Linked DNA regions of Arabidopsis thaliana. The main gene of each other region encodes a partner of the protein of the gene in region 3 in a complex. Each region holds a gene or a part of one and is shown on either strand. Other genes may lie near its edges.

What was found.
Region 1: rps11 (region 3) and AT1G64510 share a complex: the UniProt entries of both Arabidopsis thaliana proteins name them as parts of the 30S ribosomal subunit.
Region 2: rps11 (region 3) and PSRP4 share a complex: the UniProt entries of both Arabidopsis thaliana proteins name them as parts of the 30S ribosomal subunit.
Region 4: rps11 (region 3) and RPS17 share a complex: the UniProt entries of both Arabidopsis thaliana proteins name them as parts of the 30S ribosomal subunit.

The regions. Positions count from the first base shown.
Region 1 is NC_003070.9:23,951,826-23,960,955, reverse strand, and holds AT1G64510 (Translation elongation factor EF1B/ribosomal protein S6 family protein), read left to right. Parts: upstream 1-4,651; 5' UTR 4,652-4,678; coding exon 4,679-5,131; intron 5,132-5,720; coding exon 5,721-5,963; 3' UTR 5,964-6,153; downstream 6,154-9,130. Other genes in the region: AT1G64530 (Plant regulator RWP-RK family protein), read right to left, coding at 61-108, 200-759, 923-1,136; RPN12a (regulatory particle non-ATPase 12A), read right to left, coding at 2,836-2,976, 3,066-3,177, 3,273-3,536, 3,617-3,719, 4,014-4,092, 4,393-4,497; AT1G64500 (Glutaredoxin family protein), read right to left, coding at 6,580-7,686; AT1G64490 (DEK, chromatin associated protein), read right to left, coding at 8,416-8,790. UniProt on the Arabidopsis thaliana protein: Binds together with bS18 to 16S ribosomal RNA.
Region 2 is NC_003071.7:15,973,636-15,982,112, forward strand, and holds PSRP4 (plastid-specific ribosomal protein 4), read left to right. Parts: upstream 1-7,212; 5' UTR 7,213-7,312; coding exon 7,313-7,469; intron 7,470-7,536; coding exon 7,537-7,601; intron 7,602-7,689; coding exon 7,690-7,824; 3' UTR 7,825-7,977; downstream 7,978-8,477. Other genes in the region: AUX1 (Transmembrane amino acid transporter family protein), read left to right, coding at 1-34, 128-313, 402-514, 611-794, 1,073-1,170, 1,692-1,899, 1,986-2,243, 2,924-3,157; ATMAK3 (Acyl-CoA N-acyltransferases (NAT) superfamily protein), read right to left, coding at 5,004-5,219, 5,916-5,971, 6,111-6,231, 6,331-6,510; AT2G38150 (alpha 1,4-glycosyltransferase family protein), read right to left, coding at 8,065-8,477.
Region 3 is NC_000932.1:78,460-82,267, forward strand, and holds rps11 (ribosomal protein S11), read right to left. Parts: upstream 918-3,808; coding exon 501-917; downstream 1-500. Other genes in the region: rpoA (RNA polymerase alpha subunit), read right to left, coding at 1-431; rpl36 (ribosomal protein L36), read right to left, coding at 1,030-1,143; rps8 (ribosomal protein S8), read right to left, coding at 1,609-2,013; rpl14 (ribosomal protein L14), read right to left, coding at 2,237-2,605.
Region 4 is NC_003070.9:30,037,443-30,045,653, reverse strand, and holds RPS17 (ribosomal protein S17), read left to right. Parts: upstream 1-3,701; 5' UTR 3,702-3,731; coding exon 3,732-4,181; 3' UTR 4,182-4,411; downstream 4,412-8,211. Other genes in the region: AT1G79870 (D-isomer specific 2-hydroxyacid dehydrogenase family protein), read right to left, coding at 1-321, 438-860; ROPGEF12 (RHO guanyl-nucleotide exchange factor 12), read left to right, coding at 1,562-1,952, 2,036-2,190, 2,276-2,350, 2,457-2,720, 2,820-3,482; GL2 (HD-ZIP IV family of homeobox-leucine zipper protein with lipid-binding START domain-containing protein), read right to left, coding at 4,641-5,021, 5,095-5,181, 5,266-5,537, 5,621-6,011, 6,106-6,210, 6,300-6,836, 6,920-7,037, 7,674-7,948 and 1 more. UniProt on the Arabidopsis thaliana protein: One of the primary rRNA binding proteins, it binds specifically to the 5'-end of 16S ribosomal RNA. Required for optimal plastid performance in terms of photosynthesis and growth. Required for the translation of plastid mRNAs.

The DNA.
Region 1 (9,130 bases), on a different chromosome or scaffold from region 3:
CAGTTCTTGAAAGTTTCTGAAAGAATACTCGAGATTTTTGACATTGGACTCGCAGATAACCTGAGTAGTCTCGTGGTTCAATATTTCCGAAGTTTTCAGATTCACGGCCTGCAACACAAGAGAAAACAACAATGTCACGGGAAGATCAAAGGAAACTGATAAAGAACCCTAAAAAAAGAAGGAGAAAACAAGGGCAAACCTCAAGCGCTTTACAAACTTTTTCAACCTCAGGAGCATAGTTAATCTTCGGAGAAGTCATAATAAGCTCGACAACTCCTACACAGAGTTGCCTGGATGGTTCAAAAACAGGCAAAGCCAAAGTTCCCTGAACATTATAGTGCAAGGCGTGACCAAGCCTTGAAAACTCTTTGCTGGAGTAATACTGCACATTAGGAGTCCACTCAGGTAACTTTTTCCTGAAAACGCGACCAGGAAGCCCGAGCTCTCCGTCCCGTTCACCATCAAGGGAAAACATATACGTCAATGAAACCATCCTGTATTGATTAAGGCCATTACTATTGGGACCAAGAACAAATGGCTGTCCTGAAGTTGTAAGAACATATCGACCACGGTTTTTGACAGGCGCCCAAACCTGAGCAAGAACATGTTGTTGTCCAGTAGATTCCTTGAAGTATCTAAGCGCTTGAGTCATCTTGGCTTTGATGGCACAGTAACTATCTGGATTCTCCAAAGGCATTATACCCCATGACGGAGAAGGAACCTGATTATTCTCCTTGGTCGTGGTTTCAGATTCAGAACCTGCATTTCATTTGATTCTATAAATTCCAGATCTAAATTCTACTAATCCGTGAAGTTCCAATAAGATTCCAATGAAGGAGAATATTACTATCCAGAGATTGAAGCATATTCACTACATTATCTGAATTGGATTCTAGAATCTAAACTTTGCATGAAGACTTACTAGCGAGTAAGACGGAATAATCGGTGAAGCGAGTGGGAGCTACTGCGGCGGAGTAAAGCTCGCCGCCGACATCTCCAGAAGTTTCGGAGAAGGACCAGAGAGGAGAGAAAGGTTGTTCGGAGGAAGAGAAAATGACAGGAGACTTGAAATTTGAAGCAAAAGTGATCTGATCTAACGGCCAAGAACCGCTGAGATCCAAGTCGTCAAGTTCCATCAACAGCAGCAGCAAAGACGTAAGACGAGACAAAAACTCGTCAGAGTAAGTGTTAATATCTCCGGAAGTTTCGCCGGAGCTCCTTTTGAAGCAAAAAAAAACTCTTCTGATTCAGCTTCTTCAACAGAAAGAGAGAGAGAAGAAATAAGAGGAGAAGACAAGTTGTAATATTATTTAAATTGGGATTTAAATCTTTTTGAGATAAAATAATTTGATTTTGTTGAAGACATTTGATTCCACGCTGTACCATTTTACCCCAACCACTAGAATATCTCCCATTTCATGCAAATTCTTTATTCTTTGTATTATTTTCTTTAATATTTTTATGAGACAAAAGGCATCGAAATTTTGTTTTTCTATTAATACTAACAAACTTGAATATTAGAACATTGGCCAAAAAAAAAAACTGTATTGATATTGATTGACCATCTCTAGAATATTGGCTTTGACAAAATTCGATATACATAAAACATAAAGGTGTGAATAAATACTATTAGACTATTTGAATAATCGTTTTTAAATGCTGTGATACGATTCTATTTTATTCCAAATGCATTGTTTCTGCCAGAGGCGAATATATGGTAAAGGTTTGTTTTTATCACATTTCAAAAAACGAATTGATTATGTTATATAGAGTAGATCTTTAGACGTTTCTTACACGTCCACCACCATGAACAAAGTTGTCATAGCATATTTTATGCGCCTAAAAGCTTTAAAAAATATTAAATTAAGACGTAATTAGGCACTAAGTGCGTGTTGTGGGTGAGTAGAATAACAACGACTACTATAATTTATTCAATAATAATGATGTTCTTAGCAAATAATTATGATAAACAATGCAATAATTGACGACAATGAAAAAAACGAATCTCGCTTTGGGAGATGAATAAAAAAGCGAGGACATCTAATCGTGATTATTCTTACTCAGCCATTTTCAACTACTTACCCAAAGTGGATCCTTACTTAAGCCCTTTTGCAATACATAAAATTTTTATTAACAGTAACTTGTTTTCCTAGTGGGGACATCTAATCGTGATTATTCTTTCTTTTAATGTTATAATAACTTCCCTAATTTGTTATTTAGCTGTTAATCAATATTTTAACCCCAAGGAGAAGAAATGCTTGCAACGTAAATCCCCACTTGTTTCAAGTTGATGAGTGTTTGGCAATTGACAATTGTGTGTCCCTTGTTCTGTAATGACAATCCTTCCTTCCTTCTTCCATATTTGGACTAGGTTGTTCATCAAAGGAAGGAAGGCCCCGGCTACACTACGTTAGAGGCTCTCCAAATCTGTCCTTTTCATCCACAACTAAACCAAACCCAAATTCAAATAACCAAACTGAACTAAAACATTCCACCGCAAACCAAACCGAAATTGAGTATCCCGGACCACGGTAACTCTGAATTCCAAACTATACCTAGTTTTGAACACCCCTAGAATTATGGACATCATGTTCAAGCAAAGCATCAAAGTGAGGAGGACAGAGTCTCCAATTGAAAACGAGTGAACACTAAACAATAGAATATAACGTAAAAGGATATGGAAAAACAGATTGATATCACAACAAAGTCTCATTGACCCGGAGAAAATACTGAGTCGCTCAATATCGGTCATTACATGATAACAAAGTTTTCTGACCCAGAGATTTCCAGGAACATAACAGAAGAGAAGAGACAAGCAGTGAGAAAAGTCGAATCTTACACGATACGCTCCAGCTCTCTGGCGTAGCTTAGAGTCTGGTTGATGAGTTGCAGAGACGGAATCTCTTTGCACGGTGCAGTTTCTTTGGCTTTCTGGAAGACAACAAACCCTTCCTTCACTTCCCACTCAGGATGCTCCTATAAGATTTGATAAAACCTAAATCGCGTCAATGGTTCATGAAACTAAAAAAGATTCTAAACTTTGCACAAAATGTTTTTTCTCTTACATCTGTGACATAGGTTAAGAGTTCTTGATCAGAAGAGAACAACAACATCTGCCGGGCATCGCTGATAGAGACATAATCATAAGCTTTCTCGCTGCATCCAGCTATTTCATCTCTGTGAATTCAGTCATAACAATAAAAAGGTGAGATAACACGCGAGAAGACATAAGACTGAACTAATTCAGAGAAGGACAGACTCATTGATGCTACCTTATGGTCTTTGCCAAGAGATCCATGAAATAGACGTAAGTTGCATCAGGCGCGGTCTGTCTAGCACTCAACACACGGTTATAGGCACCCTCCATGAAGGATTGCTCAAGCTCTACTGCATGCTTGATGCAAGGATCCTCTAGTGTAGCTGATGAAAGTAATTCAAGCTCGGTGTGGAATTCAGCAATTCTATTTTGTACCAGCAGCCTCAGAAGGTTAAGACCCAGGATAAGATTCTCCTGTGGAGACTGAGGAATACGGTTCCTGGTGCAGAGGAAAAGAAGATATGTTAGACCAAAAGAAAATGAAAAAGATAATGTTCAGACAGTTGGTTCTTTCTTTACCTGGCATCCACATAGTAAGGTTTCAGCTGGAAGAAATCTCTCTCAAAAGCATCTTGATCCTCGGTTTTGACGCTTAGAACAACAGCATGCTCATAAATGTCCCCTAGAATACACCAATTGTCAAAGTTTTAGAAACGGATAATCAATAAGAACAAAAATTACCAATAACTCAATCCAAACCAATGCAGCATTCAACGATTAATGTATACATATAGGGATAGACAGACAAACTAAAGCAGTACAATCCCTCAGACACTCTTCAGTGGTATTTAAGTATAGTTAACAAATAACTCATGAGAATAGACAAATCCAAAACACTCCATGCAATTGAAAGCAAAACTCTAAACTTACTAGCAAATAGCTCATGTAAAACCAATAATGAAAAAGAGAAACTTACTTGCAATAGTCAATTCCTTGGCTGCATTAGGTGAATTCTCGAACAATGGAGGAAGACTTGTGAATTTGGTAAGAAGAACCTGAAGAACACAACAAAACCCCAGCGACATCAGAGACTCGCACCAGTAAATTGTAAATCTAAACCAATCCCAACAATCCCTTAAAGTAGAAAGTTAAAAATTTCATAGCACTTAGCTCTTCTAAAAGATCCTTAACACACTTATATGCTAAAAATTCTCACTTCAATAAATCAAAGCTCTCATAGATTTAAACTCTCGCGACATAACCCATCAATTTTCCCAAAGTTGGTTCAATAAGCAGATATGCAAAGAAGTGAATTGAAACAAATTAGGGTTCAAAGAAGAGAGAGAGATGTAGACCTTAAGCTGAGACAACAGATCGCTACAGGTATTGTAATCCTTCCTCGCAAACGCCGCCTTGAATCTCTCGAACTGCTGTGAAACTTCAGTTAGCTGCGGATCCATCGCTTCTATGGTTTTTTCTCTTCACCGGCGACGATTCTTTTCTTATAGATTTGATTGCTCCGAGAACTGGCTTGATCGCGAAGACAAATAATACAGATAGAAATAATTGTCTTTACAAAACGGGCCTTTAACAGGCCCAATAACCTAAAAAGGCCCATGGTGTACAATAGAATTCTGACTAATGTGTACCATCATCATCTCTTATCCAAATTTTACTCTCTCATCTCCTCTTTGCTTTCACAATCTCACAACAATGGCGTCTTCGCTGTGTGTATCAAATTCCACAATTTGCCCTCTGCCTAATGTATCTTCGCAGCCGCTGCTATCATTCTCCCACTCTCTCAGGCCATTCATTTCCAAGTCGAAACCTATGTGTGCCTCGATACAGAAGAGAGATGGCTCTCAATTTGTGGTGAAATCTCAGGCTCTTGACTTCTCTGGAACTTTCTTTGAAGGTGGATTCGGGTCGGATGATGACCCGACTTCTCCTTCCGGGTCGGGAGTCTCAACTGCCCTTGAAGACAAACCGGAACCTCAGTGCCCACCTGGGCTCAGGCAGTACGAAACAATGGCGGTTTTGAGACCAGACATGTCTGAAGATGAACGGCTTGGTCTTACCCAGAAATACGAAGAGGTAAGTAAAAGTCTCCAACTTTACCTGTTTTCTGTTTCATGTCAGAGGGAAATTTGATTATTTGAGAGAGAAAGAGATTTTAGGATTCAATTAGAAGTTGAGTAAGAGATCACTAAAAGTTGTATCTTGTGTCTGTTCTTACACGTTAATGACAAAGCAAGAGAAAATGGTTTCAATGTAGAGTTGTGTAACTTGCAGCTATCAATTGAATGTTTGTGACGACTCCTTGTTAAAATTGAAGTAAAGAGTTTAACTTTCTAAGAGCAAATCTCATCCTTCTGTGGGCTGTGAATTCTTTAAGTCTCAACCATTTGAAACAAGATAGGAGCCCTTAGTGCACTTCTTAGTTTTTTAGTCATGTTTTACCATAACATTTTAACTCAATTCTTGAAATGTCCTTTGATGCTCGAAACGAGCTAATACACAGTTATCATTTGTGGTTTACGCGTGGGTTCTTTTACGCTATATCACATGTTTAATCTAATGAGGAATTCTGAAATTTATGTTCGGAGTAGTGGAAGTTTTTAGTTGGTGCAGACTCTGAAAGATTCATTATGTTGCTGGGATTTCTTTTTGGTGTGTGTGGCAGTTGCTTGTGGCAGGAGGTGGAATGTATGTGGAAGTGTTTAACAGAGGAGTGATTCCGTTGGCTTACAGCATAAGAAAGAAGAACAAAGCTGGAGAAACCAACACTTACTTGGATGGAATCTACCTTCTCTTCACTTACTTCACCAAACCCGAATCAATAGTTCCACTCGAGACCGTTCTCACTGCCGACGATGACATTATCCGATCATCTTCCTTCAAGATAAAGAAGAGGAAGTACAACTGAAGACCATGAACATTGTGTATGTGAGAAAAATGTCAGATTCTTTTTTTGTTTCTTTGTAAGAACAAAAGTAAATCTATCTTTTTTGTATCTTTTTTTGTGCATTGCTCTGCTTTCTTATGTAACTGTGAGAAACTCTTAAAGCTAAGTTTGAGAAGCATACTTGTATGCATTTTCATTAAAAGATTTTAACTAACACTAACTTGCCATAGTTACTATAATGATGGAATTCATATTACTCTGTTTCATAGCACAAAATCCTCAACGGATGCATAACAATCAAACAAAATAGCAACAAAGAACAAATTTGTAAAGTATTCAGGCAGAAGTGACTTTGTTTGCCAGCTTTTACCTTCTGACGATCCAAACTTAAATTAGTGAGATTGTTGAACTCCTTTACGTAATTGATCAAAACCATCAACATATACGAGTGAGAGACCTTGCAAGCTTAGCATTATAATGGTTCACGTTCATGCTTTAACATTTTATGAAAATCCTAGCATAGTTTCAAATCATTTTCAATTCCACAAAATCAAACGTGTCACATACATATAACAAAACAAACGGGACAAAGTATATTTGACACACCTCTATTTGCTTGTGTAAACTAATAATGTTCTTAATTAACAAAACACACGGGACAACGAATCAATCCATTCTCATTACACTTGACACACCTCTCCCACCTTTCACCTTTGGCCGCCCCAACCGCCGCCACCTTACAGCTTCCGCCGCACTCGAAACAAGGCAACCACCTCGCTCCTCCGCACCCTTCACACGTGAGCCTCCCTTCCTCCCCTACTCTCTCCACACGTGCCCACCGCAACACCCTCCCTAACTTCCCGTTCTCATTCATCGCTGTCACTTCCGCTGCTCCTCCCAAGTACCTCCCTTTCACAAACACTCGCGGCGGCGCCACTGATGCTTCGTCTTGGAGAAGCTCCTTAAGCTCGCTCAAGACTCCGGCGTCTAAAGACACGTCCCTCTCGTCCACCACAACTCCTTGCTGCTCCATGATGGCCCTCACACGCATACAATCCTCGTACGTGCGACGCACTCCTTGCAACGACGTCGTGTAGACAATCAAACCTTCCCCTCCTCCCGGCGGACACTTCTCCGGGAACTCCCTAAGTGGGTCCCAGTTCATCACCGGCTTCTTGTTCCCTTCTTTCTCCCTCCGTTCTCTGTCTCTCTTGACGAATATGTTCTCCTTCACTGACCGAGGCCCCGAGTAGGACGACTGAGTGGACTCGGTTCGATCATCTGACTCGGGTCTTAGCTTGGACATCGACTCGGTTCTCTTAAGCTTAACCATTGTCGTCGGGATTTGCGCGGCGATGCTTCTTTTGGCCCTCACTTCAAGCTCGTCCAGTGTGTGGAACGATGCGCTCTTCCGCGGAAGCCGCCGTGGAGGAGTCGCCGGAGGTTTAACAGAGTCTACTTCCGGCGGTTTAACGGCGGCAGGTTTAAGTTTAGTTTCTAGAGATTTGCTGACTTCTTCCCATGTTTTAGGAGCGTCATCACCATCATCATCATCATCATCATCATCCTCGTCGAGACGGTCGAAGACGGTGGAGCGTGGCGGTTTCTCATCATCTTCATGTTCAAATTTTAGCCATGGCTCTTGGATGGCGTTGACATCAAACACCGCGAAACTAGACGGCGGTGGTTTGTAAACGTCGGCGACGACGTTAGCTTTTGCTTGCTTGGAAGATGTACACCCCATTTTAATAACTCTTCAAATTTTGTTCAGTTTTCTTTGTATATGTTTTTGTGTTTACTATATGAAGAAAACAAGAAAATGATGGGTAGCATTTTGTGTGGTCTAAGAGCATTCTCTTATCTAAATATTTTTTGCATCAATTTGTATCCTTCCTAGAATAATGCTTAGTATACAATTGTGGATTTATTCGAGTCCATGAATATTTGTGAAACGATCATAATAAGAATTAGAATGACGACCACCACAAAGTGTGCTTGTGGCTTCAGTGTAATCTACGTGGTGAGTCAATCATATTCTTGACAATTCAATCTTCTAATTGTCGTCTCTCCTAAATGCAAATATGTCAAACTCTACCGAAGAAAGATATGCAAATGTCATTATCATTTGAAGGGTCGATACAAAAATAATGCATTTCATAACACAAAGAGAATATATAGCATTGGAAAAAGAGGTTTCATTTTGATATACTTGAATCTTTTGAGTATCACAATTTCACCAAAACCAAGTTTTTCTTTGGCAAATTAAATGTCCTAATGAATTAGACAATCATCAATTTTTTAAGTAACAAAACATATAACTATTGATGGAGCATGTTACAGAGTCTGATACACTTTGACTTGAAGTGTAGTATCAATGGCTAAAACACTAATTTCAACTAAAGACATCATTCATCGTTGAAATTACACAAAAACCTGAGCAAAGATGAAATTTATCTGAGATGATAAAATTTACCTAAGCAGGTGATGACTCTTCTTCTTCCACCTTCTTCTTTGCCTTCTTCTTCTTTTTCTTCTTCGTAGTCGTCTTCGTGGCATTCTCGGTTACTTCTCCATCAACATCTTCTACAATCTGAGTATGAAGCTTTCCCATCTCAGTATCGATTGTCATAATCGCCTTCTCGATGAAACTATCGACGGCTTCTCTGACGATGATTTTGTACGGATCTCGCGAAAGATCGAGATTCAACTCAGATGAAGCTTCTTCTCGGGCCTTAATCTCTGTAATCTCAAGTAAACTCGACCGTTTCAGGATCTTCTTCACCGTTTCCTTGATCTTCTTCTTCAGATCATTGTCGATCACCACTTGTCTCGCTTCTTCTTCCTCCATTGATTTTGATGTTGAAGACGGCTAAAGATCGACCAAGCCTAAGAAAAACACACTTGAGGGTTTCAAAGAGAAAATTCAAAATCTCTGTTGTGAATGGGCCGACAAATGGGCCGACAGTTTGTCTTAATAGATATCATGTTTTAGTTCTCAGAAGAAATGATAGCTCTTATTTTGATGATCGACTATTATCGTTGGCTTATTGCAAAGTACAAGCAAGTGCTGATGAAGCTAGAGGATAAACTGAGGTCTGCAGAGGATGTTACAAAGGCTAATTAATGGTTTTGTGAGGGAGACCATCGAGTCTTTAACATTTCTAACCTGTGGAAGTCTCTCTTTGAAC
Region 2 (8,477 bases), on a different chromosome or scaffold from region 3:
CTGGGACGCTTGGTTCAGCTGCGCATCTAACCAAGTAAACCAATAAAACCATAAACTAAAGATTCAAAATTTCGGATTTCTCATAGTGAAGAAAGATCTGATTTGTAGTAATTATCGTTGGTTTCAGGTGGCTCAAGTGTTATTGACATTACCGTACTCGTTTAGTCAACTAGGAATGTTATCAGGAATAGTACTTCAGATCTTCTATGGTTTACTAGGAAGCTGGACTGCTTATCTCATCTCTGTTCTCTACGTCGAATACAGAGCTCGTAAAGAAAAAGAAGGCAAAAGCTTCAAAAACCACGTCATTCAGGTCCCCTCTTTAAACCCTCTCTCTCTAATCAGAATCACTAAATCATAATTATCTTTCACTAATCTAACACTTTTAAAAATCTCAACAGTGGTTTGAAGTACTTGATGGATTACTTGGTTCATACTGGAAAGCACTAGGACTCGCATTTAATTGCACTTTCCTCTTGTTTGGATCTGTTATCCAACTCATTGCTTGTGCCAGGTCTGTTATCTTTTAATCATTCTCTTTATCTTTTTAATCACTCTTTAATGATTAAGAATGGAGGATAATTGAAATATGATTGGTGTTTACTTGCAGTAACATTTATTACATAAACGATCATCTGGACAAGAGAACATGGACTTACATATTTGGCGCGTGTTGTGCAACCACTGTCTTTATACCGTCGTTTCACAATTACCGAATTTGGTCATTCCTTGGCCTTGGAATGACCACTTACACCGCTTGGTACTTAGCCATTGCCTCCATCATCCACGGCCAGGTAATGTTTTAATATATTTCACCAAAAATATATTTCATCACATTATAAAGATCACTACACTGTCGTTTTCATATTTATATGCTTTGCATTGAGGTGACAGTATATGCCTTAATTAAAAAGAAGAATAAAAAAAATTCGTATTTTCTCTTTAAGATCAGGGATTATTCTTTGCATCTTAACCCAAATTTGTATTAAAAAGTGTATGTATAATATAACTTAGACAAAATTAGCTGTTTAATATTCTCCTAATCAAATTTTTTTTTTGTTGTTTATTTTAGGCGGAAGGTGTGAAACATTCAGGTCCAACAAAGCTAGTGCTTTATTTTACGGGAGCCACAAATATTTTGTACACCTTTGGAGGTCACGCGGTTACTGTGTAAGTTACTCTTCTTTTGATTTCTTAATGATTATTAATTTTGTATCTAATAAAAGATCAATAAATTTTGTCAGACATAGTTGAATTACTATTTAAGTTAAAGCTAAATGGCAGAAAAAGTATATGGTAAATTAAAATGGTGCCATATTATTAAATTATGGGTGCTGCTGTATCGTTTCTTCGCCGCTTCTATTGCAGCTTTTGCCGGCAAATAAGGTGTAACTATTATTACAGTCATCATGATTGTCATTATTATTTTTAGCAATCCTTAAAATAGTAGTACTAATAAAATAAGCTCTTTTTAAATATAAAATAGAATAACCATTATTATTCCTATCCCTATAAAGAATAACAAACACTATTGCTACCAAAGCACTACTACTACTAGTAGGAATAGTACGCTTTTGCGAAATGTCAAATACACCCTTTTTATGCGTCAATGATTGTTGTGAATCCAATCTTTTACATAGTTAAAGTTTTGGATGAAATTATGAATATTAACAGTAATTTCTAATTTGCAGTGAGATTATGCATGCTATGTGGAAACCACAGAAGTTTAAGTACATTTACTTGATGGCGACGTTATACGTGTTCACGCTAACGATTCCGTCAGCTGCCGCCGTTTACTGGGCTTTCGGAGACGCACTTCTCGACCACTCCAACGCTTTCTCTCTTATGCCCAAGAACGCGTGGCGTGACGCCGCTGTTATCCTCATGCTCATTCATCAGGTATACACATACAACATTTTTGTTCTTTCTTTTTTAAGTAAATTTTGATCATGAGAGATTAATGCAACGTGTTCTTGTTCGTGCAGTTTATAACGTTCGGGTTCGCTTGTACACCTTTGTACTTTGTGTGGGAGAAAGTGATTGGGATGCATGACACAAAGAGCATTTGCTTAAGGGCTTTGGCTAGATTGCCTGTGGTCATACCTATTTGGTTCTTAGCTATTATCTTCCCCTTTTTCGGTCCAATCAATTCCGCTGTCGGTGCTCTTCTTGTTAGCTTCACCGTCTATATCATCCCATCTCTCGCTCACATGCTCACTTACCGATCTGCCTCCGCTCGTCAGGTATAACATCTTTACTAGCTCACTCTCTTTTAGCGTTTCAAAACTCGAACTTAACCTAAAATACATTGAGTTACCAATAATTTTTTAGAAATGAAATGAAGAGTCGGTGGAGGAATATTATAGTTGGGGGGTAGGGTTGTGAAATTGGAGGGCAAAAACGTCTTTTGTGGAAGATAGATGGGGTTCAGTGTTCCGTATCTTACGGAAGATAGGATCATCACCCACATTCCTTACTGGCGTCCCCTCCAAATAATATATTATTGAGTTGGTTTCAGCCATTTCTTTATTTGGTTACATTTAGAAGAAAAAATACAATATCCGGTTAGGTTAGTATTAGTAATTGACCATGACTTCTTTTTCTTTCTCTCTTTCAAAACAGTGTATATTAAATTTACGTAAGATAAAAGTAGAGGAAAATAGGGGAGAGGAATAGGTAAGAGTCATAATCAGAAATGAAAAGGAGCTGTACAATAGGGACTCTATGCCTAACATTAATCTAAAGTGAGAGTCTGAGTATGACAAATCACAATCATATCTCTCTCTCTCTCTCTCTATCTCATGGGTCAACAAAGCTTTGGATTTTGTCCATTACTATACGACCAAAACTCTAAAACACTTACACACTCTCTATTTCTTTAATGGTTCTCTGATTATTTTTGTGTTTTGGATCTTTCTTGTAGAATGCGGCGGAGAAGCCACCGTTCTTTATGCCGAGCTGGACGGCGATGTACGTGTTGAATGCTTTCGTGGTGGTTTGGGTTCTTATAGTCGGATTTGGGTTCGGTGGATGGGCTAGTGTAACCAACTTTGTTCGTCAAGTCGACACTTTTGGTCTCTTTGCCAAGTGTTACCAATGTAAACCAGCTGCAGCCGCCGCACATGCCCCGGTCTCCGCTTTACACCACCGTCTTTGAGAGATCGAGTCAGGGTTCTTCTAATGCGTTTGTGGAGGGTTCTTAAAATTATTTGTTCTTCTTTTGTGTTTTGTGTTCGTATACGTGAAGGGAGTAAAAGTCACGAAAATAGTGTACTTTTTACACACCCCTTTAAATGCGTGCTAAGCTCTTAATTATTTTTTTCTCTTTTGGGGTTTTGTATTTTTGTTTTCACTCCTTAGTTTTTTTTTTAAAATTGAATAGTCGATAATATGTAGTGTGTGATTTCTTAATTTGGTATTGTTAAAACAATAGGCTAAGAAAATGTATCGTCTTCTCTCCTTTTACTTGTCTTTAGTAACAAAAAACAATTCTTATCTTATACATTTATCCTAATTAGACTTATATAAACTATTTTACCATGAACAATATCTTCCGATACTAGATAATTCTTTAGGATCCTATTAGATCTTTTAATTATACAGTTTTGATCATAGCACAGCGACAATACTACTAAGTTTACATTAAAATTTTGAAATAACACTTTAATTTATTTGGAAAATTTGATTTAACGGCAGGGTGTGTTTAAAAATTAAATAGGGGAACATGGACAAGTTGGACCGACGGAGCCGGTCATATATCCTATGGGCCACATGGGTGTGGGGAGAGGACGCACGTGGATACTTCGTCCGAGTCACGTGCCATTATTTACTTGACACTCTTCATCTTCTCTCTGATCAAAAGAATGGATCAGAGGACCGTTCCTGTCCCTCATATTAAATATGGCATGTGTTCGTTCCATTCGTACTCAATCGTTTACCCCTTATCATATGCTCTGCTTTCACATGTACTTTGCCCCCAAAGATTATAACTATATATGTAAAATTATTAACTAATATTCTCGTTTGAATCCAGAGTCCGATTCTTGTACTTTCCATCTGACTTTTTTTTTGTTGGGGGTCAAAATAAAAAAGAACTTTGCAAAAATGTTTCTTCTAATAGCATAAAATCGTTAAAGAGAAAAGAAGAAGTGAATGTGAGTCATATTATGCGATATGGAGTAGGACCCTTGGTAACGTTTGGTTAGTGACCCTTGGTAACGAGTGGGTTCAAATTGTCAATAAACTATTATGTGGCGAGTGGTGAATCGTCTTTAATTTGTTCTGATTTAGGCCATGTGAGTTTTGCAACTACATTTGAGGCTTTTCTTCTTCTTTATATTAGACTTTTTTTTTTTTGTAAAGTGGACTATCTGGATACAAAAAAAATCTCGGCTAACATGGATAAATCTAAGATGGTTGTGTTTGTGAAAAGAAAATTGTTTTATAGTAAAATACGGTATGCAATAAAAGTATTTCATAAAATATCTCATACCAATTATTCAAGCATGTCTTTTCATAACATTTGACTGGCATCTTTCTCTCCTTTGGCCTTAAATCAATTTTTTGTCATCTTGGATTTCTTTTGAGGTATATAGAGCTGTTTGAAAATTTTGATGGCTGAAAATCACTTCACATCTCGATTTCTATATCATCCACTTAACTCGAAGTCAGGAGTAGCCTGAGACGATTAGGTTAAGTTAAGTGGTTATATGAATTTGTAACAACATTTAGATCTTTGTTTCCAATCATCAACCAAGTTTGAGAGACCTTAAAAACGTATATACGCACACCACAAAGTGATATGAATATGCTAAATTGTTTCTGTAGACACACAAGACCGTTGAAACGTCCAGATTAATCGCTTACTCCAGTCGAGAATACTTCATAAACATGGGACTAGAATTGTACCAACACATAATATTTCTTCATACGAAAGAGAACATAGTCTTAGCATGTTCAGGATTTAGAATACATTGAAGAAACACACATCTTCGTTCATGGCCTTAAGGTACACGAGGCCTAGGAAAGGTCTCATACTCTTGTTGGGTTTGAACTTGAGAAGGTATTTGAGGTACACGAGGCTTAGGGAACAAGAGCTTCAGGCGAAAAGCATCCATCCCATTCAAGTAATAGTGGTATAGCCGTTTGGCTCTTATAAACCCGAGTCGCCCATATAGTGCTAATGCTCCTTTGTTACTCACTTCTGCCTCCAGAGTTACCTTCAGCCATACATCTTTACATTAATTAGATTGCATAACCAGACAACCATACTCTCATGTTGTAATCAGGCTTGATTATGAGGAACTTGAAGAGCAAATGCCAATCACGAGGTTCTTTTTCCAATCTATTTACTACTGAGATTACAGTTAAGAGATCACACATACAACAGAAAATGATTCGTCGAATACGCAATTAGTAAGTGGGAGACAGGGATTTCTTATTTTATATTACTATCAGTTACATTCCAATGCGTGTGACTATAAAGAGTCATGGACTACATACAAGACTTATACAACATATGTATACTAAGTGAGAGACTGGGATTTTGATTTCCACTACAAAATTAGTAACTAAACGAATATCGAAAAGTTCCAACTCTTAGGAGTATGATTAACTACTTTTATACGTGGAACTAAACTTACACACACAGTTAGCTAAACAATCAAAAGCAATAGGTATACTTGCAATGATTAAAGGCAGCTACATCACCTCAGCTATGAAATTCTATTCTAGTAGATAAAAAGGAGGCACTATTTCAGGACATGTAATGGACTTATAACCTTCCGGAAAAGGTGGTTCATAAGGTCTTATCTACATTTATACTACCAGGAAAGGATATCACTCTAGTGCTACCAAATATCTAAGTTCTCCAAAGTGGGAATAAAGAGAGAAGTGAGAATGCAAGAACAGCATACCTCTTCACAGCCTGATTCCATCATCGCTTTTATCGCTCTTGTGACAAGCTCTGAGGCTGTAAAAAAACAATGACAAGTCAGCACACAAAATTATCGAACCTTAAGAGAGGCATGTATTTGCAGTAGATCAAACACTACTCCCACAGTCAAAATCTGATTCTGTAAGAAGTTAGGAAGCACTAGCTCAAGTATTACCTATGCCTCGGCCACGATATGGTTTAATCACAACCAACATAGCGATGTACCCTCTGAAAGTCTGTCGATGATCCCCCATCTTACAGACTATGGTTCCTACGCATTTACCTTTGTGAAAGGCCTATTAAAAGAAACAAAACAAATGCTACTCATAAATCCATCAAAACATAAGTATCATGAGGGTAAAGCAACGATAATCGAAAGCTGAGTGTCAAAATACCAGGAAGCATAGCTGCGGCCAGAGGTAGACGAAGTACCGGTAAGTAAAGATGGAGTAAGGTTCACTAAGTTCTTGGTCAACAAGAGACATAATCAATGGCAGATGATGCTCACCAGCATAACTCGTGTACTCAATCTCACCCTCATCGAATTCTTCTTTATCTTCCATCTCTTTCTCCATTGCAAGAAGTGATCAAGATCCCGAATTGTATACTTACAAAGAGAAATATGAACTTCTGATCAGTTGTTTATACATTGATGATCTTGTTCCTATAGGAAGTGATGAAACACATAATGCAAAGTTAGAGAATATAAATCATTTTCTGTGAATCGAAGTTGAGTGATTGTTTCAGAATTGAAAGTTCAATGTTTTCATAACAAACTCAGATTGCTCAAAGCCTCAAATAAACAGCTGAAGCAGAATCTATAACACTCTACTAAAGCAAACGACTTTGGCTAAAGCGAGCTATAGAAGATTTGAGAGTTCAGAAAAAAGAGAGCTTACCGATGTTATGTGACAATAGGATTAGTAAAGAATCCTGTGAAGCATAAGAATGAAAAAAACACACACAGATTTTAAATACCAAGTAATGAGAGATTTAGAAAGAGATGTGATTATAAAAATTGAAACTTTTTAGAAACCCAAGATCAATGAGATGATAAGAATACTTACCAAAAGTTTGAGCTTTGTGAAATTCGAAGATCAAAAGTTACGATCTGGGTGATATCTGAAGAAAAAAGCTCCGAAGAGAAGACGAAGAAGAACAAGAACAAGAACAAGAACAAGAACAAGGTCGATTACACACGTGACAAGCATGTGTAGGGTTTAGATATATTTGGGCTTTAAAATAAGCCCAATTGAAATTAAAGCCCAAATATGAAAAGATAATTAAAAGCCTATCCTAAAATCGTTTTTCTACTCTCACTGCCTTATCTTCTTCTGGATCTTCTTCTTCGAACAAATTCGAAAACAGCACACGGCGATGGCGTCGCTTATACTCGGAGCTCCTCCGCGAGTCACCGTCGCATTACCTTCCTCACGGTTATCATCTTCTCACTCTGAAACTGCCGGTGTCTCTCTCTCTTGCTTCACTCATCAATTCTCTCTCTCCACTTCCTCATCCAGCTCAATTCCACTCGGTAATCTCCCTCTCTTATCTAACTCTCTCTTAATTCGTCAATGGCGTAACTTTTCCGGTGTTCGCAGTGTACTGTGGCAGAGGTGACCGGAAAACAGCTAAAGGAAAGCGTTTCAATCACTCTTTTGGGAATGTAAGTAATCAAATTTCTCTTTCCGATTTCGTAATTTTACTTTGCAAATTCGCAATTTTGGTTTTGAATTTGGGGTTTATGTAAGCAGGCGAGGCCAAGAAACAAGAGCAAAGGAAGAGGACCGGAGAGAGTACCGGTTCCTCCAGCACCACCGAGGAAAGATAAGTTTGAGAACGACGAGAAGATCAAAATCGATATCGACGAGTCTCTCTTCTCTAATTAGAAATATGAGATTCTTCACTTGTTGTCTCTCACTGTAATTTTAATTTGTTTTTTGAAAAGCTTTGATGCTACGACTCTTTTGTTGTTAAAAACATCTCCAAAGTTCTCATCTTTTTATGAAAAGTTTGCTTCTTTATGAATCATTGAGTCTTTTACATTGAAAAAGTAAAGCAAACTAAGAACGAGAATCTATATACTTAGATAGATCAGATGGATGAATCATCTGTCTCTGTTTGGATCTTTAAATGTGAGAGTTTGTGATGTTTCCGCAGACTGTGCAGTGAGTGGAGACGAGAGTGTGCATTACACTTCCTTCTTCAATCTTAATCTTCCTTGTGACTTTGTTCCACAGATGTATCATGTAACTCCCTTTGTTCATGTCCTGTACTGTCTTCTCTACCCATTTTGCTTCTCTTGTGGTTGCAGGTTTCTTGAAAAGCTTTTGGATTTTGATCCAGTTTACTGGATAGAAAGCATCGGGAGAAAAGATTGTGAGATTGTTGTATCCAGGTTTGTTTCCTAATCTCTTGATAACTCTAGAGACTAGGTAAGGGCTGTTGTATCCCCATTTGTTTCCGTCGAAAGTTGTGGCATACTCTTGCAAGAATTCTCGCATTAGCGGATGGTAGATGTCAAAGACCATCACTGCGTTGT
Region 3 (3,808 bases):
TCTATTGGTTCTGTTAAGGTAGCTATATGCTGTGTATTATCAATGATTTCCACAGCGGGCGGTAAAATAATGTCTCGAGCAGTTATATATCCAGGACCTTGGACACAAATAAGCGCGTTGCGCGTTCCATATAGATTACTTCTTAATACAATCTCGTTCAAATTCATTAAAATTTCATGTACTGATTCTTGAATACCTGCTATGTTAGAATAGTCATGTGGTATGTTCTCAGATTTTGCACGTGTAATACATGTTCCTTCTATTTCGCCAAGTAAAGCTCTTCGCATCGCAATGCCTATTGTGTCGGCTTGGCCTTTCATAAGTGGAGACAGAATAAAGCGTCCATAATAAAGACGCTTACTGTCTCTTTTTGATTCAACACACTTCCACTGTAGTGTCCGAGTAGATACTTTGACTTTCTCTCGAACCATAGTAATTTTATTTGATCAGATCGTTGAATCGTTTATTTCTCTTGAAACCCTTTTAGCCTTTTTTTAGTTCTATACACGTCTTTTTTTAGGGGGTCTACAACCATTATGTGGCATAGGGGTTACATCTCGTACGAAACTTAAAAGTATACCGCTTCTACGAATAGCTCGTAATGCCGCATCTCTTCCGAGTCCAGGGCCTTTTATCCTTACTTCAGCTCGTTGCATACCTTGATCCACTACTGCTCGAATAGCATTTCCTGCTGCGGTTTGGGCAGCAAAGGGTGTTCCTCTTCTTGTACCCCGGAATCCACAAGTACCTGCGGAGGACCAAGAAATCACCCGACCCCGTACATCTGTAACGGTTACAATGGTATTGTTGAAACTTGCTTGAACATGAATAACTCCCTTTGGTATTCTACGTACATTTTTACGTGAACCACTACGTGTATTTTTACGCGAACCAATTCTTAATATAGGTTTTGCCATTTTTTTTCATTTCACAAGAAATATATGGATATATCCATTTCAGGTCAAAATAGACCCTTTTTTCCAACTCTTTGGAAGTGCCTTTTCTTTTACTTTAGTTCCTTTAGTAAGATTATCCTTGTCTTTGTTTATGCCTCGGGTTGGAACAAATTACTATAATTCGTCCCCTCCTGCGGATTAGTCGACACTTTTCACAAATTTTACGAACGGAAGCCCTTATTTTCATAGTTGTTATTCCTTAATTCTGTGAATATATTTATTGGTGGACGAAAAAAAGGTTTCTTGATATTTTTGAATCTTGAATTGTATCTTCGTGAAAGGAATGGTTGAAATTGAAAAAACACTTACTCATTTGAATACTTATTATGGAGTCTAGAAAATGGCTGTCCCCTTATTAACTTATACTTAAGAACTTACTCAAAATTTTACCTTTTTATCCTATAGGTATACCTATACAAAAATATGTCGAATCCTTTCAGAAGCATGAACGAAAAAAAATCTTTAGTATCTAAACAAAATCGAACCATGCCGTTCGGAAGTGATTAAGAAAGAAAACTTTTATTAATTCATTTTTTCTTTAATTTCATTCGAAGTAAAACATCCGAAACTTTTTTGAACAGGGGTGGTATTACACAACCCCCTTTTTTCACAAATTGTAAGTTACAGATATCTAATTTTTATATTAGAAGGATTACCATATATAACACAAAATTTCTCCGCCGATTCTTTTTAGTCGAGCTTCTCGGTCTGTCATTATACCTTGAGAAGTCGAAAGGATTACAATTCCTATTCCGCCTAAAATTCGTGGAATTCGTTGAGAGTTAGAATAGATTCGTAGACCCGGTCGACTTATTCTCTTTAAATTTAAAATCGTTTTGTAGGATTCTTTCTTATTTCGTCTATGTCTTAGGGTTAAAATCAAAAAATATTGGTTGTTTTCGCGATGTTTCCTTACGTTTTCGATAAAACCCTCTCGTAAAAGGATTTTAACAATACTTTCCGTGATGTTAGTCGATCCTATCCGAACCGTTCCTTTTCTATTCATGTCAGCATTTCGTATAGAGGTTATTATATCAGCAATGGTGTCTTTCCCCATGATAAGTTAAAATTCCTTATTGTTCTATAATTTTGATATAATCAACATGTTCTTTTTCTTTTATTTATATATAGATATAGACGAATTATATATTAATATATGAATTAAATTCTTAATATTTTATTATTAAGGGTATATGCGTGATACAGAATCTATTAATTAATTTTATTTCAATACCTGTTTTTTTAATCCGATACTAACTATCGCTATCGATATTTAGATCTTATAATACCTCAGGAGCTAATGAAACTATTTTAGTAAAGTTTAATTGTCTCAATTCCCGTGGGATCGCCCCAAAAACTCGAGTTCCTTTTGGATTTCCTTCTTGATCAATGACAACTGCGGCATTGTCATCATATCGTATTATCGTCCCATTGTTACGTTTGAGTTCTTTACAAGTACGTACAATTACAGCTCTAATCACTTCTGATCTTTCTAGAGGAGTATTTGGTATTGCTTCTTTGATTACAGCAACAATAACGTCACCAATATGAGCATATCGGCGATTACTAGCTCCTATTATTCGAATACACATCAATTCTCTAGCCCCGCTGTTGTCTGCTACATTCAAATAGGTTTGTGGTTGAATCATATCATTTTTTTTGTATCTCTTCTTTTAATGCAAAGGACGAAGTAAAAAAATATTGTTTGTCAAAAAAAGAAAACTTATAATCTTTTTACCCTTAAATGTTATTTAGTTTTTTCATTATATATTCCTATTCAGAAATAATGAATTGGGTTTTTATAGGCATTTTTGATGCCGCTATTGAAATAGCTTTTCTTGCTATATTTTCGGGTACACCACCCATTTCATAAAGGATTTTACCTGGTTTAACCACAGCTACCCAATACTCAGGGGATCCTTTCCCAGAACCCATACGCGTTTCCGCAGGTCTTACTGTAACTGGTTTGTCTGGAAATATACGTACCCAAATTTTTCCACCACGTCGTACATTTCGTGTCATTGCGCGTCGCCCTGCTTCTATTTGTCTAGATGTGATCCAAGCGGGTTCAAGTGTTTGAAGAGCATATCTGCCAAAACAAATACGATTCCCACGAGAAGATATTCCTTTTAGTCTTCCTCGATGTTGTTTACGAAATCTGGTTCTTTTTGGGTTATAGTTGATGGTTCTAAATTAGAAATTCCATCTCTACTACAGAACTGAACGTGAGAGTTTCTTCTCATCCAGCTCCTCGCGAATAAAAGGACTAAAAAAGCTTGTATTAAGATATAGTTAATGATTAATTCTATTAATCATGATATTCAATTTCATCTGATCTCTTCTAAATTTGTGTATGTCTTTTTCGAAATGGAATCCAAGATTAATTCTATTTATTTAAAAATAACGTAACGTAATATCATCATCTCGAATGTCGTTTTTGTTAGAATATTCTAACAAATCCTTATTTTCTTTTATCTTTTTAATTTTTGTTTTTTATTACTTTTATTAAAAAAAAAGTATTCGCCGGCGAATATTTACTCTTTCAATATCTATATTAAGTTTGTTGTTTATCCCAGGAGATCTCTGAATAAAAATAAGAATAGATAATAATCTGGTTTATTCCGCCATCCTGTCCAATGAATTACTAAGATTTATTTTTCAATAGAATCCTCTATATTCATGGGTTCCGTCGTTCCCATCGCTTCTTGATTAATCATTAGGCCCGAATTCTACAATGGAGCTCTTATATGAAATCGGGAATTTCATTTTTTTTATTTGTTTTTGAGTCAATTTTCTTAGTTTTTATTGGCTCAAGGCTCTTAATTTTTTTTGTTTTCGGAACAGATTTATCT
Region 4 (8,211 bases), on a different chromosome or scaffold from region 3:
GCCTTCTGTTAGAGCTTTAATAAGCTCTTGCTCATCAACATGTGGTCCACGGCCAATGTTTATGAGGACGCCCTTAGCTCCTAATGCATCCATGACCTGCCGGTCCACAATGTGTCTGGTCTGCTCGGTCAACGGGCATGCGACGACGAGGATGTCTGAGTTTTGAGCAAGGTCAACCACCGTCGGATAATACTTGTAGGCGACATCAGGCTTAATGGTTCTTGAGTAGTAATTGATTGGGCAGCTAAAGGCTTCAGCCCTCTTTGCGATGGCAGTCCCAATTCTACCTAGACCAATGATCCCCACGGATTTTCCACTAAACTGAGTCAACCAAAAGAAAGAAAGAATGTGACGCTAAAGCAGAGATAGAAGACCAAAGATAAGATAGGGCAGAGAGCTCTTTTCCAATCAATCAATAGTGGGTAAGAAGTAGAAACCTTGGTAGTGAGTTGGAATTCACCTTGCTTCCATTTTCCGCTCCTTACATAGCGATCGCACTCACACAGCCGTCGAAGGAGAGCCAGGATAAGCCCGATGGCGAGATCTGCGACGTCTTCGGTGAGAACGTCGGGGGTGTTGGTGACGCGGATCCCTTTTTCTTTGCATTTCCCCAAATCGATCTTGTCGAGCCCGACGCTGAAGCTGGATACAATCTCAAGGTTGGGCAGATCGCTGATGAGCTGAGCATCGGCGCCGGCAGAAGCATTCCCAACGACGGCGCGGATGGAGTTCCGATGAGTTTCTAGGAGGACGGATTTCTCCGGAGAAGTCCAGAAGCGAAGAAGGTTGAAGCGCTTCTCAAGCTCGTTCTCGAGGTAGGAGGACATGGGGCACATCATAAGGACTCCGATTGATTCCATATCTCCTTTTCTCTGTTTTTTTTTTTTATTTTTCTTCTGCAAATGATTGAGTCAGTGAGAGGTCTGTGTATAATTTATCGGAGGTTGACGATAAAGATGGGCCTATTTTTGGGCCCATAATTGATATTATCCGCTTTTTATGGGCCACTAAATGACCCTTTTCAAGTTTTCCTCTTGGTTCCGAAATCATGACTTATGTTTAAAGACAACATTGCACGTTTGATGATATTCATGCAAATTGTTGTAGGATTCATGAACATGATACAAACACAAGAAGACATACACTGTATGTGTATGGAAACGTAGCAGATTCCCCGTTGACATTGCATGTTTAGGGAATCCAGTGACAAGGGTGTAATCACATTTTAGTATGTTACTATATGATAACATTTTATAATTTAAACGGCTCTCTATCTCTAATTATCAATGTTCAAAATCCTAAATAATGATTAGTTAAAATTAAGAGGTGTGGTCTGAAACATGCGCCCCACGTCCCATCTTCCAAAAAAAGGAAGCAAAAGAAGAAAGCTCCACAATTTTCTCAAAGCCAAAATCACTGTAACAATTACCCTTTATTGTTTTGCGGCTCGATTAGCTTCTCCTTCCCTTTTGATTCTCCCCATCTCAAGAGAGGCCCATTTGATCCTCTCTCTTTCTCTCTCTCTCCTCTCTAATTCTCTATTGCCATCAAGAGACCAGGAATGGTTCGTGCTTCGGAACAAGAACAGGAAACCTATAGGAGCAGGCTCTTCAATTTCAAATGGAGGAACAACGACAACAATAGTGCTACGAGACACAACAAGAGTCTCAGCGTCGAGACCGGTTTAGATGAGGCTGCCACCGGATCCCATGACGCTGAACCATTGACCATTATTCATCCTAGTCAGGGTCCACCACTTTCAAGATCGGCTGCGGATGAAGCAGTCCTCGCCGCCCTCGCCGCCTCACAGGCTAGAGAAAGGCAGCTTTTGGCAGACATGGAGCAGATGAAAGAGCGCTTCTCCAAGCTGTTGCTGGGAGAGGACAATTCCGGTGGAGGCAAAGGAGTATCCTCTGCTCTCGCCCTTTCAAACGCAATCACAAACCTTGCAGGTTGCTTTAGGACCCTCTTTTGTTATTACACTTAGTTTATATTAACCAGCAACCAATATCTCATGTTTATCTTGTTGGTATAGCTTCCGTGTTCGGAGAGCAACGGCGCTTGGAGCCAATGCCTGCAGAAAGAAGAGCAAGATGGAGAAAAGAGATTGATTGGCTTCTCTCCGTGACCGATTACGTGGTTGAGTTTGCTCCATCTCAGCAGAAAAATAAAGATGGGACCAATATGGAGGTTGTCTATCTGCTGCTGCTGCTGCATTATATTTCATTTGGTAACATACAATGATTCCCTTATTCTGTTGGTATTGATTTAACAGATAATGACCACACGCCAACGTACTGACCTCCACATGAATATCCCCGCATTGAAGAAACTGGACGCCATGCTCATCGTAAGACCTCTCTCTCTCTCTCTCTCGTTGACCAAATATCAACCCTACTTTAATAATTTCATTTAGGATATTCAAAAGCATCCTCTTATCCCCCTTTTCTACCTAGGATTGTCTAGAAAATTTCAAGGACCAAAGCGAGTTCAGCTATATCTCAAAAGACTCCCCTGACTTAGACGGTAAGAGAAACGACGAAAAATGGTGGATTCCGACCGTCAAAGTTCCACCAGATGGTCTATCAGAAGCTTCAAGAAGGTTTTTGCAGTACCAGAAAGATTGTGTAAACCAGGTTCTAAAGGCAGCCATGGCCATAAACGCACAGGTTTTGTTCGAGATGGAGATACCTGAGAGCTACATCGACTCTCTCCCAAAGGTAAAAAAAAAAAAAGACACCAACAATTGATGTTATTGATTAGAAGAGTTGATGAAGAATAATACTCACTTGTTTAGTTTGTAATAAATAAATAAACAGAACGGGAGGGCGAGTCTCGGGGATCAGATGTACAAGAATATAACGGTGGACTTCTTTGACCCGGACCAGTTCCTGAGCAGCATGGACATGTCGTCGGAGCACAAGATCGTGGACCTCAAAAACAGAATCGAGGCATCAATCATTATATGGAAACGCAAAATGGTTTATAAAGACAACAAATCATCGGCACCCTGGGCCTCCGGAGTAAGTCTGGAGAAGCGAGAGGTCTTCGAAGAGCGAGCTGAGACCATTTTGCTCATTCTCAAGCAAAGATACCCCGGGATTTCTCAATCTTCACTCGACATCAGCAAAATCCAGTTCAACGAGGACGTGGGCCAGGCGGTGCTGGAGAGCTACTCGAGAATACTGGAAAGCTTGGCCTACACGGTACTTTCCAGAATCGATGACGTTTTAGAGGCAGATCGAGCGGGGAACAAGAGGAACACGCCATTGGAAGCAGAGGAAGAGACGCTGGTTGGGAGCATGACGCTGTCGGATTTCATGGGATGGGACTTCGATCAGGCCGCGAACGCCGAATTGGAGTCGAAGAAGGATCTACCGGATGATCCGTTGATAAAGGAGAAGCTAAGCGTCGTCACGACCAAGAAGACCTCATACCTCGAAACCCTAGGCGGTGTCAAGAGTCCAACGGCACGGCATTGATATTTGTGTGGAAAATTAGGCGCAAAAAAGAGCGAAGACAGATTTATTGATTATTTAATTATTTTTAGGATTCAAAAACTTTACAAAAGGGCTTTTGTAAATTCCTTTTTATGAAAAGGTGGGCTTTTAAGATTAGGCCCAGTTTATTGTAAAACCCATTTACCATCTGTATACTGTATACATCCCTTCTAAATAGTAGTAGTACTCACCTTATCTTCATTTTCATCGATTCGATTCCAAATCGGAAGGATGATAACGTCGTCCCTAACCTCATCTCTGCAAGCTCTCAAGCTTTCGTCTCCGTTCGCCCATGGCTCCACTCCTCTCTCATCTCTCTCTAAGCCCAATTCCTTCCCGAACCACAGAATGCCCGCTTTAGTTCCGGTCATCAGAGCCATGAAAACGATGCAGGGGCGCGTGGTGTGCGCAACCAGTGACAAGACTGTGGCGGTGGAGGTGGTGAGGCTGGCTCCCCACCCCAAGTACAAGAGGCGCGTGAGGATGAAGAAGAAGTACCAAGCTCACGACCCCGATAATCAGTTCAAGGTTGGCGACGTGGTCAGACTGGAAAAGAGCAGACCCATCAGTAAGACTAAATCATTTGTGGCGCTTCCTGTCATCGCAAGGGCCGCCAGGAAAGCCGAAGCCGGAGGAGATGAACTCCTTGGCCTTCCCTTGGAGTCTCAGCAGCCGGCGTAGAGAATGATTGCTCTTTGTTTCTTTTGGTAAAGCCGTCTTTTTTTTGCTCTGCTTCTGTTTGTTTGTTGTGTATCCCGGAACCAGTGTAATTTATGGAATGCTTTTGTGATTTCATTGCTTATGCCATGAGTGTGTTTTCAATCTGATTGTTTCCGACTACCAATTGTTTGCTCTTACTTCATCTTCACCTCCAGTTACATTTAGAATGTGAATTAATATGTTTCTGTTGCTACTGTGTGCTTGTGGTCTCAGTGATCCGACTTTTGTTTCTGCTAATTCTACGGTTCTTGCTCCTCTTGTTATGGTTCATTTGCCAATGGAATGGACCAAAAAGGTGTTGGATAATAATAGGATTGGAGAAGAGAGAGCTGGTCGTTTTTGTACAAAACTTTAATGCACTGCTGCTATACATTATCATATAATTATATATAGGTAAATAATATCTGCTGTGACTTGTCATCAGCAATCTTCGATTTGTAGACTTCTCTTAATGTTGTGTAGTGTGACTGAGACGAGGTTTGTCACGGATTCCACAGACTCCATATTCAGCTTTGCTGCAGGAGAAGGGTTGATGAGGGTTTGGAGGGCGAGTGTCAGGAGCGACCCTCCTTGGCTGTTTCTGTCGTCTTGTGTAGACGTTATTACCAGTGGCCGTGACTCTACTCCATCAGGTATGATTGAGAATCCAGAGGGGAGGATTTGGATGTTGCTTGGATCATGTCCCGCGAGCACCAGCTGTGTCGTGTTTATATCTACGGGAGCGTATACCACCACCGACTCATACGAGTTAGTGCTGCTGTCTTGCAGCACCCATATGCTCTTTTCTCTCGATTTCACTGTCTGGAAATGTATAGAAATTCAGATTATCAAGGCCTAGACAGATTTAGAGGAGGAGAAGACAAAATAAACGCACCTGGATTGCCACTGAGTTGCCTCTGTCTTGTCCCTTGGATAAGTTTGCAATAGACTGAACATGAGCTCCGTTTGACAAAGCATCCCACTGATGATATGTATCGTTAGATAAATATATGAGTGGAAACCGCTTTTCTTGTTTGCTTAAATGTGTGTGAATTTGACAAGGTACCTCATGCCGACGAGCTTCATCTCTAAAGAAATCGAAGAGAAGAGCTGGAGAAACAGGTAACCACAGCGAAGAAGAAGCGCAGACAATGACTCCCGTGGGCTCGCCAGGATCATGAAGGTTCTTCCTGGAAGAAACCCGCATGTCTTGTCCAGTTTTGGTGGTGATTTTGGTCCATTGATGGTAGCTTGATGCAGCAATGGCGCGGTAGAAGCTTTGTGTCATTCTCTGAGCCATCTTCAGCACACTCTTTCTCCCGGCAAGAGTTGTAACTCCTGATTATCAACAGAGGAGTGAAAAGGTTATATATAAAGAAAGATAGAGAGTGTAAATGGAGGATCCGGATATATAGACGGACCGAGAGAGTCTTTGGTGGGGACGTTGGTAGCCATGAAGAAGACAAGGCGTTCGCAATGGAGCTGAAGGGTGGCGACCCAGTGTCGAGCCCCAAAGGCCAAACCGGTGTTGACTAAGGAGCGGAAGAGAGGCTGAACTGTGGATGCAGACACGTCGAGGTGCTCCACCCAGGTGACCTTGGAGTGACCGTTGGAGGTGTCCTCGATGATGCAACCGGAGGGGAGTTTTCGACATTTCAGAAGAGAAGCCTCCTTCTCCGTGTTGCTGTCCTCCACGGAGACCGAGACGTCCACTATTGCCCATTTCTCAGGGCTCAGCTGCCGGCAGCTTCTCACGAAGTACACTTCTCTTGTGGGGACGACCGGAGTGAGCAGCTGCATCTCTCCGAACATCTGCCACAATAGTTATAAACCATATCCATCCCATGTATCAGCTGAGTCGTCATTCATCAATTATCACTATATGTATATATTGATGAGTACTCACCAGCTGAATAGCCCCGTCGATCCGTGAAGGCCCTTCGCCTTGCCGGATAACATCGACCGTTGCAGCCTTTGAGATCAAGCATGCAAATGTCTCTTTCCATTGTCCCTGCGCGTTACACGTACACATCAATTCCTTTTTATACACATAGAATAAGTTATAGTAGCTGGTAACAGTAATAAATAATGGAAAAGTACCACGTCCATGAAACTCTGGGCAAGTTTATGTGCGTCCATAAACACAATCCCCGCATCTCTAGATGCTTCGATGGTTTTCCTTCCAGGAAACGAAGAGGCTTGCGCTTGGGGAAACTCCTTGAGGTACTCATCGTAGTTGAGAATCTCACGGCCAGTCTCAACGCTGCGGAGCCACATAGGTTCGCCTGAGGTGGCCATCTTCTGGAGTTCAAGGGTGGCTCGGTTAGAAATCTCGGCAATACGGGACTTCTCGAGGGCAAAGACGCCCGTGTAGAAATCGAGAGAGCCGAGACGGTGTTCTTGATCGTCGGAGCATGAAGCCTGCAGGGGATAGGGAGTGCGTCCAAGAGCTGCACGAAGCTTATCGAGCTCGGCTTTCAGTTTGGAGTTTTCGAGGTGGAGATCATCGGGGCCTCCTCCGCAGTTGGGGCAGGAGGAATTAGCCTTGGAAAAAGACTCCCTCATGGCTTTGTTTTCCTCTCGCAGCTTCTCTAGTTCCGCCTTGAGCAGGGAGTTCTCGTGCCGTTCTTGAATAGCCTGTCCATGCATGATTGATTCATAAACTATATATATACTACTATAGTCAGACAAAAATCCATATCACGTAAGATATACATTACCTTGATCTGTGTGCGGCGGTTTTGGAACCAGAACTTGACCTGGCGAGGGGCCAGCCCTAGTTGCTTGCTCAGCTGCTGTCTTTGCTTCTCGTCCGGATGTGGTGTCTCTTTGAATAGCCTGCAACGTCCTCAAATTCAGACATTTCTAAAAGATGAAAATCTTTACATGCAACTGAACCCTAACTAGGCATATGTATACTATTACTGATCAGCTTTAATTGTGATGAAACAAATTAACACTTTATTGTTTAAGCCTTTATATACGTTATAACGCGCATGTACCTACAGTCATGTCAGGAGAAGACGGGGAATAATAACGAGTAAGCGTCCGAAACCATATAAGCGCATTGAAACTAATGCTGGATCATATATCATCGATCGGCAATATATTTGTATGAATACATCATCTAAGTATATATATGTATGTGAAATTAATGGAGAATTGAAGGTGCGTAATTGAGAATTGCTCTTCAACGCAAGACACCTTCTCCTTCTTCCACTAATTAAGTACTACAGTATATACCGAAGAAAGGGATTAAAATCATAATTACTTATAAAACATCAAGAAATATGAGCACCGGAAAAAACAACTAATGAATGTTTCTTGATAGAAGCTAGCCCTAATGAATCGGAATCCCCTAATTAAGTGTTTTAATTTGTGAAGCATAATTATTAAGTTTATACTTATTAAAAAGTGGGGTGGGGGGTTTAATTAGTTAGCTAGGTAAGGATGGAATAATTATATCGAACGTACGCTTCCATGTGTCTGATCTGATCGGTGGTGTGACGATGATACTTCTTCCTCTTTCTCTTATTAGTGCCCTTGTTTCCAGCTGCGCCGTCCTCCTCTTCCTCCTCCTCATCGTCGTGATCCTCACCCTCCAAATCCTCCTCTGATCTGGATCTCGTGGGTCCTGAGTTCTCGCTGCTCATCTCCACAGTGCGATCCTCATCGTCAACTACTCTTCTGCCCAGGAAATCCTCCTCAGGGTTGGTGCTGCCGGAGGATGCATTCCGGAATATCCCAGCCTGTATATATTCCTATCTCCATTAAAATCAAGACATATATATAATATATGTTTATGTGAGAGCTAGCAAGTACATGTATGTAGAAAAGAGAGAGTAGTATACGAGAGATAGAGAGAGGGCTGGAGAGGAGAAAAAGTCTTTGGTGGGTTGTTTGGAAGACATGTCGACGGCCATTGACATACAAATCCTGTCCCTAGCTAGCTTCTTTGCTTAATTATGATCTCTTCCCTCTTCTCCTCGCACTCCTTCTTCCTTATATATTA